2 linked regions of the Caenorhabditis elegans genome follow. The protein of the gene in region 2 purifies or fractionates together with the protein of the main gene of each other region. This does not show direct contact. Each region holds a gene or a part of one and is shown on either strand. Other genes may lie near its edges.

The links. The genes of interacting proteins can lie anywhere in the genome.
Region 1: the proteins of dhs-25 (region 2) and mltn-1 fractionate together in Caenorhabditis elegans (co-fractionation; one large-scale study listed by BioGRID). This does not show direct contact.

Annotation. Positions count from the first base shown.
Region 1 is NC_003280.10:13,139,203-13,146,854, forward strand, and holds mltn-1 (MLt-TeN (mlt-10) related), read right to left. Parts: upstream 6,024-7,652; 5' UTR 5,956-6,023; coding exon 5,714-5,955; intron 4,918-5,713; coding exon 4,766-4,917; intron 4,578-4,765; coding exon 4,409-4,577; intron 3,677-4,408; coding exon 3,321-3,676; intron 3,237-3,320; coding exon 3,112-3,236; intron 2,456-3,111; coding exon 1,865-2,455; intron 772-1,864; coding exon 277-771; 3' UTR 142-276; downstream 1-141.
Region 2 is NC_003284.9:1,484,661-1,489,849, forward strand, and holds dhs-25 ((3R)-3-hydroxyacyl-CoA dehydrogenase), read left to right. Parts: upstream 1-1,871; 5' UTR 1,872-1,914; coding exon 1,915-1,954; intron 1,955-2,534; coding exon 2,535-2,776; intron 2,777-2,899; coding exon 2,900-2,974; intron 2,975-3,317; coding exon 3,318-3,491; intron 3,492-3,656; exon of another isoform or gene 3,657-3,677; intron 3,678-4,253; coding exon 4,254-4,469; 3' UTR 4,470-4,666; downstream 4,667-5,189. Other genes in the region: D1005.4 (Activin_recp domain-containing protein), read right to left, coding at 240-389, 549-662, 1,012-1,131; D1005.10 (C-type lectin domain-containing protein), read right to left, coding at 1,246-1,301, 1,417-1,525; F09E10.5 (Globin family profile domain-containing protein), read right to left, coding at 5,012-5,174.

The DNA of each region.
Region 1 (7,652 bases), on a different chromosome or scaffold from region 2:
ATGTATCTTGATGTAATTTGTTAATTTGTTAGACGCTCAGAAAACTAATCTTTATCCACTCTCATACCAGTTTTCGAACAGCTTAAAAAATATTTTCTTTAGACTATCTTGTCTGGATTTGTTTTAGTGTAAGTCAAAATAAAAATTATTATATTTTTATTATTATTAAAAATAATCAATTATTAAATTGTACATGTAATAGTTGTAGATTGAGAAGTTAGATATATGACCCATAAATTCACAAGTGAAGTATATATATATATATATATATATATGTTATGAAAGCCAACTTGGAGAGGCAAACACGGTGACCATAGCTCCATCGGATCCCCACGCGGGGCTCAGAGCATATGGAGAAAGCACGACAGCAGTCACATACTGAGGAGAGAGGATTGTCGGGGACAAGACGAATGGGGACAGAACTAGGGGACTCAACGCCAGTGGGTTCAGAATAATTGGTCCGAGACAGAACGGAGTCAAGATCAGTGGAGTCAGTACTTGTGGGGAGAGAATGAATGGGGCGAAGATGAGCGGGGAAAGTACGAATGGATTCATGGATCCTGGGCACAGGATGAATGGGTTAAAGGCTAGAGGTGATAGAATGATCGGAACCAGCAGGAACGGATTCACAGCTACTGGTGATAGAAGACGCGGGGAAAGAATGACAGGTACCAATAGCCATGGGGAAAGGATCATTACTCCGTAGACAGCTGGAGAGAGGATCAGTGATGACAGCATGACAGGAGACAGGATTGCCGGTTGGGAGACAGCCTGCAATATGGGAGATTTTTTGTTGGAAAATTTTGAATAAATTTTCCAGATTTTCAAGTAAGAGCGTTCGATTTTTGAGAAAATTGAGACAGAGCCACTGATAATGGCAATATTACACTATTCAAAATTTTTCTATGAATAACAGTAATTTTGGTGCTCCAAAAAATATTTAAAAATCAAAATTTTCCGAGTTTGCGAAGAACGGCAAATTTGCCGAATTTGCCGAGTTTGCCGAGCTCTGCAAATTTTCAGATAGCCCTGATCGGCACATTACGAAACTAAGATAGTCTTCGAGCAATTTTTCAAAACTTTCACTGAAAAGTAAAATTCTTTTCAGAATATACAAACATGTTTCTATATATTAAACAAAATTCGTTCCATCTGAAAATAACATTTATATTTGTTGAAAAATCTCTTAAAAAGCCTCAAGTTGTGCCAGAAAGTTGCCGTTTGCTGAAAAAAATGCCGTTAAAAGTATTTCGGCAAACGATAACTTCCAGGGACTATTTGAAAATTTTTTCAAACTTTTCAACAAACATAAATATTATTTTCAGATAGAACAAACATTTTTCTACACTTCTATACCTATTTTAGATTTAAAAAATTGGATTATCATATTGAAAATATTGAAGCCGTTTTGTATGTTTGCTGCACAGTCAGCAATTGTCGACCGGCACAGCAATTGTCGACCGGCAATTCTACAAAATGAGACGGTTGGCCAGGCTCCCCATAAATTTTTCATTGAAATTTAATGATAGAATATAAAAAATATTTGCTTCATTTAAAAATTACTGTTAGTTTAGTAGAAAGATCTTCAAAAATAGTCTGAATGTTGAAAATTTCCGGTGAAAATTGCCGAAAAATTGACGGCAATTTTCCACATTCAGACTATTTTTGAACACTTTCTCGCTATTTAAAAGTCTAGTGAAAATTATTTTCAAGTAAAGCAAATATTTTTTATATTGTATCTTTAATGAAAAAAAAATAAAAAATTTAATGAAAAATATTGTTGGAACATGCCCAACCGTCTAATTTTGTAGAACTGCCGGTCTGCAATTGTCATGCACCCCTGCGCACAGGCCAGTTAACTCACCACTGGATCCAAAATGAAGTTACTAAATGTGATCGGTGATAAAATAATATCATTTCTCTTTGCCTCAAATTTGACTTTCTCATGTGCCAAGTCCTTGATTGTTCCCATAATAGCTCTATCGATTTGTGGTCTGCTCATTGATTTTGCCAATTTCAAGAACTTCTCATTTTCCCCCACTGATCCCTTCCCGTAGATCAAATCCATCTGATCATGTCTCATAATAGTATAGCCTGTTCTGTTCATCTCCTTGAGCTGCTCATCGGTATAAGTTTTATCCAAAGACTCGAACATTTCGATTTTCCTCGCCTCATGCGGATATTTTTCTGTTACATTTTCTTTTGTGAAGTACAACGGTTGACCTTCAGGCCCTCTTCCCATCGCATCGTCTTTGAGTCTTCGATACTCTCCGATTTTTCTTTCAACCCGTTCCATCGCTTCATTGACACCAGTTGCTTCCACAATAAAATCCAAGAAATCCTGAGAGTCTTTGTTATCGGTGAGAGATCCTAGGATGTTTCCGAGTGATGCTTTCTTTTCTACTCCAGAGCCATCCTCGTGTAGAGCAAATAGTGAAGGAGAGAGGAGATCAATCTGTAAATTTCGAACATTGTGTCCGGCAAATATGCCGAATTTGCCAAACTGACCGAGCTCGGCAAATTTCGTGATTTGCCGCCCCTGGAATCGGCAACTTCGGAAATTTCCGGTTTTGGAAACTCTCGGCAATTGTCGGTTTTAGAAATTTTCGGCAATCCGCAATTTTGGAAATTGTCGGTTTTGGAAATTTCCCGGCAATCGGCAATTTCGGAAATTGCCGGTTTTGAAAATTTCCGGCAATCGGCAATTTCAGAAACTGCCGGTTTTGGGCATTTTTTTCGAGATTTGCTGGTTTTGGAAATTTTTGTTTTCTATCGAGATTTGCTTGTTTTCGAAATTTCCTGCAATCGGCAATTTTGGAAATTGCCGGTTTTGGAATTTTTCGGCAATCGACAATTTCGGCAATAGCCGGTTTTGAAAATTTTTGGCAATTGCCCGTTGCCGAAATTGTTATGGTTCGGCAAACTTGAAAATTGCCGGTTTTGGAATTTTTCGGCAAGCGGCAATTTTGGCCACTACCGGTCGCCAAAATTGATTTGGCCGACCGAAACTTTTGAAATTCGGCTAGTCCGAAAATTGCCGGGTGCCGAAATCGTTAGGGTTCGGCAACTTCGGCAAATTTGCCAAATTTGCCGCACACGCCTGTCCCTTACCTCATTATTCTTTGCAGCTTCTTCTTGTGGAATCACACTCATAAGACGTGGACTGATAATTCTGACAATTTTCCGATCGAAATCTGTTGTATTGTGACCCGACATTTCCAATCCCATCTTGGCGGCTGTTTTTTATTTATTATAATTAGAAGGTTTCGTTTTGTAAAAATATATCTTTTGGCCAAATTAAAAATTTTCACATTACTAACCATCTCTCATCATTTTCATCGGAATCATCATCAACTTTTCCTGTTCCGTCATTTTATTCTTCCTATTCCTCAACACCTCCTTAATCTGATCATTGTCTATAAATTGCTCCAAATCGTTGAACTCCTTTAAACTATCATCCTTCGCAATCTTCTTATTCTGCTTCATCTTTTCAGCTGCATCTGCATAAATCGACATTCTCTTTTGCATAAAATCCTCCATTTTCTTTTGCTCTTTGATTTCTTCGGCTTTCTTGGTGATTCGTTCGATAGTATCTTGCCACTTTGACACCTTGTCCGTCTTTTTGAGAAGTTTCACAGCGCTAGAGAGATGTCTCGTTACCAGGCCGAATGGTGTCCTAGAACAGATTACGGTTTATACATATTTTATGGCAGCAAACAAATTGTTTAAATCGGCAAATCGGCAAATTGTCGGAATTGAAAACTTCCGGCAAATTGGCAAATTAAAAAATTGCCGGAATTGAAAACTTCCGAAAAACCGGCAAACCGGCAAATTGTCGATTCGCCGAGTTTGTCGGACAATGGCAATTGCCGAAAACTGTCGACAAATAGTGGATTGTGGTTTTGTACTTTTTTGGAAATTTCAGAATTTCAAATTTTGTCGACAAAATGGTACGCATTCGATGAATGTTCCTACATCTGTTTTGAAAAAAATAAGCAAATTCTATAAAAATATCTAAAGAAAACGGGAAAAATTTCAAAAAGGCACAATTTTAAGTGTTTCCGTCTTATAAAAATTATCTTTAAAAACGTCTGGCAATTTGGCAAACCGGCAAACCGGCGATTCGGCAAATCGATAAATTGCCGGAATTGAGAATTTCTGACAAATCAGCAAATAGCCGAAAATCAAAATTTCCGACAAATCGGCAATTTGCCGAAAATCAAAATTTCCGGAAAATCAGCAACCCGGAAATTTGCCGAAAATTAAAATTTCCTGCAAATTGGCAAATCGGTAATTTGCCGAAAATGAAAGTTTCCGGAAAATCGATAATTCGCCGAAAACCGGCAATCCGATTTGCCAATTTTTTTTGTCAATAAACAATTTTTGCCGCCAACACTCAACCACTTACATTTCTTTTTCGGCTTTTAAAGTATAGCTATCTCTGGTGTGCACTCTAATTTCTCGTTTTGCCCGAAACTTGAATGACCCAATCCATTCTTTATCTTCCCGAATCTCTTTTTCAGTTATTGGAGTCATTGTAGTGTTGGTAACCATCTTATCGATTCGGCGACGCATCTCTGGAATATGTTCAGTACAGTGGGGATCAGGGCTGAACGGCTAGCTGATTTTTTTTTTTGGCTGTCAGCTCGTACAGCAAGCCGACTAATTGGGCAAAATTTGGGCAAAATTGGGAAAATTTCTTCAGAAATTCTCAAGTCAACTAGAAATGTTTACCTTTTAAACTACGTAAAATTAAAATGCTCACTTCTGCTGAAGAGCTTTCTCCTATGAACCAATCGATTTCTATGTGCGTCGTCTTCTAGCTTGAGCAAGCAACTTGCGTGCTCCGAAAGAGTTTCAGCCTCGGATGAGCATTTCTCATGGCTCTTTTTTTGGTAGTCTTCAACAAGGGCTAGTCTGAAATATTAATATATTTAACAAATTTAACAAATTGCTCGTGGCATTAAATGCGTATTTTCTTAAATGTTAAGTAACGAAATTTGAGAAATTGCCATTTTTAGATCTAACATGGTCCAAAACTACCAAATTTTGTAATGAGACGTTCTGAAAATTTATTTTTTAAAAAGTTATGGCCGCTCAAAGTTTAGGCAAAAATGGTCAATTTCTAGCTAAAATCTCAAATTTCGGCAACTTTTCAGAGTGCGCGGCAATTGCCAGCCGGCAATTCTACAAAATGAGATGGTTGGACATGTTCCCACAATATTTTTCATTAAATTTTCATGATATAATATAGACAAATATTTACTTTATTTGAAGATAACTTTTATTTGACTTGGAACAACCGAGAAAGTGTTCAAAAATTGTCCGAATATTGAAAATTACCGGTGAAAATTGCCGCCACTTTTTCGGCAATTTTAACCGGCAATTGTCAACATTCAGACTATTTTTGGAGATTTTTCTACTAAAATAACAGTTATTTTCAAATAAAGCAAATATTTTTCTATATTGTATCATTAAATTTTAATGAAAAATTTATGGGGAACATGCCCAACTGTCTCATTTTGTAGAATTGCCGGTCGAAAATTGCCGCGAAAAGTTGCCAAAATTTGAGATTTTAGCTAAAAAAAAAGATCATTTTTTCCAAAACTTTGAGCGGCCATAACTTTTTTTTGAAAAATTTTCAGAACGTCTCATCACAAAATTCGGTAGCTTTAGACCATTTTAGGTCTAAAATAACAAAGTCTGATCTCACCTTCTTGTAGCAATCGCTGCGACAACTCCGGAAAATCCTTGAACCGCCCAATGCTCCAAGAGCTCTTCTCCAGACTCTGTCGACATGGGAACATTGAAAACTTTGTCTTTATAATGTGGAGATTTCAAGATTTCTTTTTGCGTCAACCCATATTTTGTCACATCTACTTCCGATTTAACTTTTAAGCAGGTGCATGGATACGGTAGAAGTGTTAGAAATAAAATAATAGGGAATAGGATCATAATGTGGTAAACCAGAGACCAGAGAAAAGGGATTCCCTGTGATTTTATGGATTTCTGGATGTAAAGAGGGCGGAGTTTTCGGATTCATCCCGAAAGTTTTTCCAAAACGTGGTTATCACTTGCTGGGCGGTGCCTTCCCGTGACGAGGAGAGAAGATGTTCTCAAAGGATGGGAGATGATCCCGTTGAACCAAGATCTATAGCATAACAGGTGGCCACATTTTGATCCTGATTTTCACGATTTTGATGATAAAGATTGAAGTGTGTATGTGTGTGTTCATATCACGTGGAATGCGCATTGTTTCAATGATGCTAGTTTGAAGGGGGGGGGGGCGGTCAAAAAGGATTCAAGTTTTGGTTTTTATCTTTGAAAATGCGAAAAACTATTTGTTCCCTGTATGTGTGTTTGACAACTTCTCAGGTTCTTCGGATTTGGAAGGATTAGAAGTTTTATACGGTAATTCAGTTTTCTCGAGTGATATCCAATAGGATCCCTATATTTGATTACGATTTATGCACACAGTGTACCGGTAAACTAGGCTGGGCGGCAAACTACAAACGATTTTTTCCGGCAAATCGGCAAATCGGCAAATTGCAGAAATTTAGCATTTTGACAAATCGGCAACTTGCCGGAATTTAAATTTTGGGCAAACCTGCAAATCGGCAAATTGCCGGAATTAAAAATTTTTTGGCAAATCGTCGGAATTGAAACTTCCGGCAAATCGGCAAACCGGTAAATCGTTGGAATTGAAATTTTTGTTGGCAATCCGGTAATTTGCCGATTTGCCGAATTTGCCGGAAAAACGGAGATTTTCGAAAATTTTCGCCGAATTGTGGTTTTTCAATTTTTTTAAGCTTTAGAATTTCAATTTTAATCGGCAAAAATGTACGCATTCTATGAATGTTCCAGCATCTTTTTCGAAAATAAGCAAATTCTATGAAAATATTTAGAAAAAACGGGAAAAAATTTCAAAAAGGCACAGTTTCAAGTGTTTCTGTCTTCTAAAAACTCCCTCTAAAAATTTCCGGCAAATTGATGTTTGGCAAACGGCAAACCGGCAAATCGGTAAATTTCCGGCAATTCGGAAAATCGGCAAACTGCCGAAAATGAAAATTTCCGGAAAATCGACAAACCGGAAACTTGCCGAAAATTAAAATTTCCGGCAAATTGGCAAATCGGTAATTTGCCGAAAATGAAAGTTTCCGGCAAATCGATAATTAGCCGAAAATGAACGTTTCCGGCAAATCAGCAAGTTGCAGAAAATCAAAATTTCCGGCAAATCGGCAAATTGCAGGAATTGAGAATATCCGATAAATCGGCAAATCGACAAATTGCCAAAAATAAAAGTTTCCGGCAAATCGGCAATTTGCCAATTTGCCGAATTTGTCGACAAAAAATTTGCCGAACGGCAATTGAACAATCAATGACTTACATTTCTTTTTCGGCTTTTAAAGTATAGCTGTCTCTTGTGTGCACTTTAATTTCTCATGAATGTTCCTACATCTATTTTGAAAAGTAAGCAAATTCTATGAAAATATCTACAGAAAACGGAAAAAAAAATTCAAAATGCACAGTCTTAAGTGTTTCCGTCCTTTAAAAAATCCGCCTAAAACCTTCCGCCAAATTTTGAGCCGGCAACGGCAAATCGGCAAATCGCCGAAAATGAAAACTTCCGGCAAATCGGCAAACCGAAAATT
Region 2 (5,189 bases):
CAATTTCTTGAGTTTTGAACCTAGTACAAAAATGAACCGAAACACTTTCCAACGGTAATTTTAGGGGTTCAGAGCTGAATTCTGTCCCTGAAATTTTTGTGGTGACCTAGTCTTAACATAGGCCTTAAACAGGCCTCATCTGGAAATTGGATTTTCAGGCTTAAAAATTATGGAAAGGTTTAAACGAGAGGCTCTGAAAATTGACTTTTTATTTTGTCAATTTTTTATTATTTAAATTTTCAAAATAGGAAAAAGAACATGCAAAAAACATATATTGCTGAAAAAGTAGTAAAGCTCTGTCCTGATAAATTGCAGAAATCGTAATTACAGCAACACGCTTTAACATCAACATCACCAAGCTTTTCCTTTTGACAGCTCACTCCGTTGGTCTGAAACTTATTATATTTTTTGTAGACCTCTCAGCAGTTTTGAAAACGCTTTTGGCTTGAATTTTTACTAAAGTTAGCTAAGATCAAATGAGCAAAATTACTTAACCAACGCTGAACACATTTGAAAACTCAAAATAATATGTGCTATTAAAAACTTACATCACAATTTGTAATAGACACTGTCGGATCGGGACACGTTCCATTGAACACTGTGAAATAAGATGCTTGCTCAGAAAGCGTCAAACAATAAAGGCCATTGCAGGTGATAGCTGTCTGAAATTTCATTGTTATAGTTATGATTGAAAGGTTGGAGCCCGTTTCAGTTTTCTGGTGGCACTTGTTTCAGTTTAAGCCTTGTTCAAGCCGGGGACCAAGGCCTATAATCCAGTCCTCTAATGCTCCACTTCCAGATTAAGGCTGGATAGATTTAGGGGAGCTTGAACTTGTGATTTATGAATTGGTAGAGGTCCCTCTCAAAATTGAATAAAAAGAGTAATGAAGTAAACGTTTTTTTCAACAATTGCACTGACCAACAACAACTCAATTTAGTTAATACATTTTTTATAGTAATATAAATGTTCAAAATTAATTATTTTTTCAAACAACTTTTCATTTTCCTTACCTTACCGACTGTATGCGTCTTGCCTTCATAATCCATTTGTGAAAATGCCCAGCACTGTATCGAAGCTACCGGTATAATAAAGGTAATAAAAATCGATATAAATAAGAAATAAGTAGGCATCATAAAATTCAAAAGTGTGCAACTGTTGCTTTATCAGTGAAAAGCATTGGAAACTGTGCTTTCGTCATGTGAAATGCAAATTTTCAGGTTTTGTGATTTATTTTCAACTAGTACTTACTTATCAAATTGCGCACATTTGTATGAAATTGCATGCCATAATTGTTGATTTTCTGTCAAATATTTTTAAATTGGAATTTTAAGTTCAGTTTGAACTGCAAAACTAATTTCTGAATGTGTTCATTGCGCCGTAAACATTCAAACTATTTATGCAACTCGTTAACTTACCAAGTGCACTGACACCACTTTGCACTGACCATTGACCATTTTGCATTGACCAATTTGCATTGGCCATTTTGCACTGACCAATTTGCACTGACCAATTTGCATTGGCCATTTTGCACTAACTAATTTGCACTAAACAACTTGACATTTTTTTTGTTGTTGAGCACATGTAATTTTTTGATAAAACGGCCTGAAAAAATCTTGAAGTCACACTATCATCGGGTGATTCCGAGCTGTTCCCAATTCTCAAGTTTACAACTCCCGAAAACTTCACAAGTCACTAATCACACATCACTAGGTTCCTCCGAGGTCAAACTTTTCCCGTTGGAAAAGAGACAATTGAAGAGTGAGAGGTTGCATGACGTCATAGACAAACGTCCAAGTGTCTGTGACCTCTCATTTGCATGTACTGTCTTGTCGGGGAAGGTATATATTGATCATCTAGCGTTTGAAACAGCGCACCAGTGTCTCTGTAGTTTGGGCAACGAGCAGTCGGTAATTATGAGTGCTTTGCTGGGAGGACGAATTGCTGTGGTTACCGGTGAGTTGTTTTATTTGCAAAAAATTATTTTGAAAAAAAAATTGCAAACACCTAATTTAATATATTTTTCAAGTTTAAAATAGAAGGAAAAAAAAATTTTTTGGAAAAAAAATTAGCAAAAATTAAAAAAAATTGTAGTGATTTTGAGAATTAAAAATAAAAAAATTGAGCAAATATCGTTTCGTGAGTTAAATAAAAGAAGTAAAATATGAGTTGACATTGAAGTTGGTCAGTGCATTTCACACGTTTAGTCAGTGCATTTGGTCCGTAAAAAGCAAAAAACATACCAAGTGCACTGACCACCTGACTAGATCAAACCGAAACCCCCAGAAATTACTCTCACAAAAAACCTGCTCACTTCCAGCTTTTTGCAACATGAAACGTACTCGAAAGTCACATTTTTTCTGTAGTCCTGAGAAAAAACGTTAATAAAAAATGTTTTTATTCTCATAATCCAAGAAAAAATGAATGTTAAAGTGTGGGAAATAGAATACGGTAGCTTACGCTATATGTATATTTATAGCGTTTTTCAGAACTCACAATGTAAAAAGAGCAAAAACCAAAAAGAGCCAATTTTCAGGTGGTGCATCCGGCATCGGCAAGGCCATCTCGCAGACGTTGGCCAAGCATGGAGCTCGTGTCGTAGTTGCCGATTTGGATTCCGGCAACGCTGCAGCCACTGCAAAGGCTCTTCCAGCTAGCCAGAGCCATTCCTCGTTTGCCTGTGACGTGTCAAATGCAGACAGTGTGAAGGGGCTCAGTGAGCATGTAAAATCGCTGGGAACACCGTCGATTTTGGTAAATTGTGCAGGGATCACAAAGGTTCGGTTTTTTTACAAATTCATCCTAAATCGTACACCTACAGTAATCCTTTGTTACTAAAAAGGTGCTGTTGGAGTCAAAATATGTGTCTAGCGAACTAAAGAAACAAAAATTTTTTTAAAGGATTCTACACTTCTAAAAATGAAGCAGGAGCAATGGGACAGTGTCATTAAGGTCAACCTTACCGGAGTCTTCCATGTGAGTTTTTTTTTCTGAAAATTGAGGCGAAAAAGTTTTCCGATACAGTGTGATCCTAGATTATTTTTTAAAAGTGATTGAAACACTGTCAGAATAAAGATAACAAAATCAAAGAGGTAATAATATTTTATACCCTTTTTACAGTTTTTTTTTTTAAATTTTGACTTGCGACTACCGATCGTGACGGCGCACAACTTTAGACTCTCCCCCAAATTTTACCATTGGTTGTCAGATAAGAAAGCTTGCTCAGCATGAAAAAAAAACTATAAAACAAAAATTTAATATCTACTTGAAAGTTACTAATTTTTACATCAGTTCCAAAATGTTTTAAATACAATTTCAGGTATCCCAAGCATTTGTCAAAGCATCAGTTGACAACAACAACCACCCATTATCAATTATCAATGTTTCATCAATTGTCGGCAAAATGGGAAATTTCGGCCAAACCAACTACGCAGCCACCAAGGCCGGAGTCATCGGGTTCACAAAATCTGCAGCGAAAGAGTTGGCGAAAAAGGTGAGTAGTTTCTGATTTTGCGGCAAATCTCAAATAGAAATATAATATAAAATTTATACGAAAATATAGTGAAAAATATCTAAATCTACCGGCCCATACTTTTTTGTGCACACCTCTGTTGCACTATGTTTTAAAATAGACAAAGCAATAAAAAAGAGATTTCGTTGACGAATTGAAACTAAAGTTTTGTTTCCCAAAAAAGTATCACGTCGAAAACAATAAAATGCACTAGACTTTCCTATGTTCAAATATGTTCAAATATGTTCAAACTGTTACGAAAAATTATTTTTTGGTGCACTACGTATGTTTTAAAATGAGCTTTGTTATATTCTGCTAAAAAATTTTTATTGAGAATTTCATTAGTGATTAGGTCTTAAAAATTAACATGTACTGCCAGAAAAATGTCAAAACTGGAAAACTGCATAGTTTTTTTTCTTTTCGATGCACCATGTTGCAAAATGAATTTTGCATGATTACTGAGGCCTGAACTTAATAGTTCAATTCCGCTTTGAACTTTGGAGAACTATGTATTCACGACGTTAAAAAGCATTCGATGCACCATGTTTTGAAAGGAATTTTGCATGCCTGGTACTGGCTGTACATAGAAAACATTTCAAATGTAGCTATCATTATTGGAAAATTAATTTAAACGTTTTTTTTTAAATATTCAGTAGATATACCAAAAAAAAATTAAAATCTCGATGCACCATGTTCGGGGGAATCGCCTTTTGACCACTACCATCTTACTGAAATTTTTTCCAGAACGTACGTGTGAACGCAGTGCTCCCAGGCTTCATCAAGACCCCAATGACAGAGGCAATGCCACCGACTGTGTTGGCCGAAATCTGTAAGGGAATTCCAATGGGCCGGATGGGTGAAGCCGAGGAAATCGCCAACTCCGTCTTGTACCTTGCCTCTGATCTCTCCTCATATGTGACTGGTGCCACTTTGGAAGTTACCGGTGGATTTAGTATGTAGATTAAATTTAGACTTTTTACTTTGACGGTTTATATCGTGGATTTTAAAACTTCTGGAGATTTTTATTTAATTAATGTATACTTTTGAAAGTCTATGAAAAAATCTGAAACTATGCCCTCAAAGTAAGCAGGTAGCTTGGTTTAGAATCTTTGTTGATATTGTGATTAACTTTGTTTCATGAAATGAATATTTGTTTTAAATCGGGATATCTTTATTAGTGATCAAATATACATTATAATTAAAAAATGAAATAAATGTTATTCAAATTATTGCACGAAGGTTTAACAAAACTGTTTTGTATAATTGTTCAATTGAAAACTTTCACGTTTTGTTAACAAAATTTGAGTATAAGGTTATTGATAAATAGGAAAACTCTAAACTAAATGTTAATGAACCCAGCAAATTACATTTTTGTCAGTGCAAACATTTTTTGGTCAGTGCAAACATTTTTTGTTTAGTGCAAACATTTTTTTGCTAAATGTTTCTTAGTCACTGCCCGAAGTGAAATATTTTAATTTTGAAAAAAAACTCAAGTAACTTATTCAAAAATGTCTAGAAACATTAATCGGAGAATACTCATCAGGCTTATTCACAAAATCCAAACTAATGTCACAAATTTCAATAGGAGCCGACTCGTCAATGTCTTCCTCGCGGGAGTGTGAAGTGTTGATTCGAAGTTGAGTGGAACGTGTTGGTACCGTGATTCTGAATTTATTACTT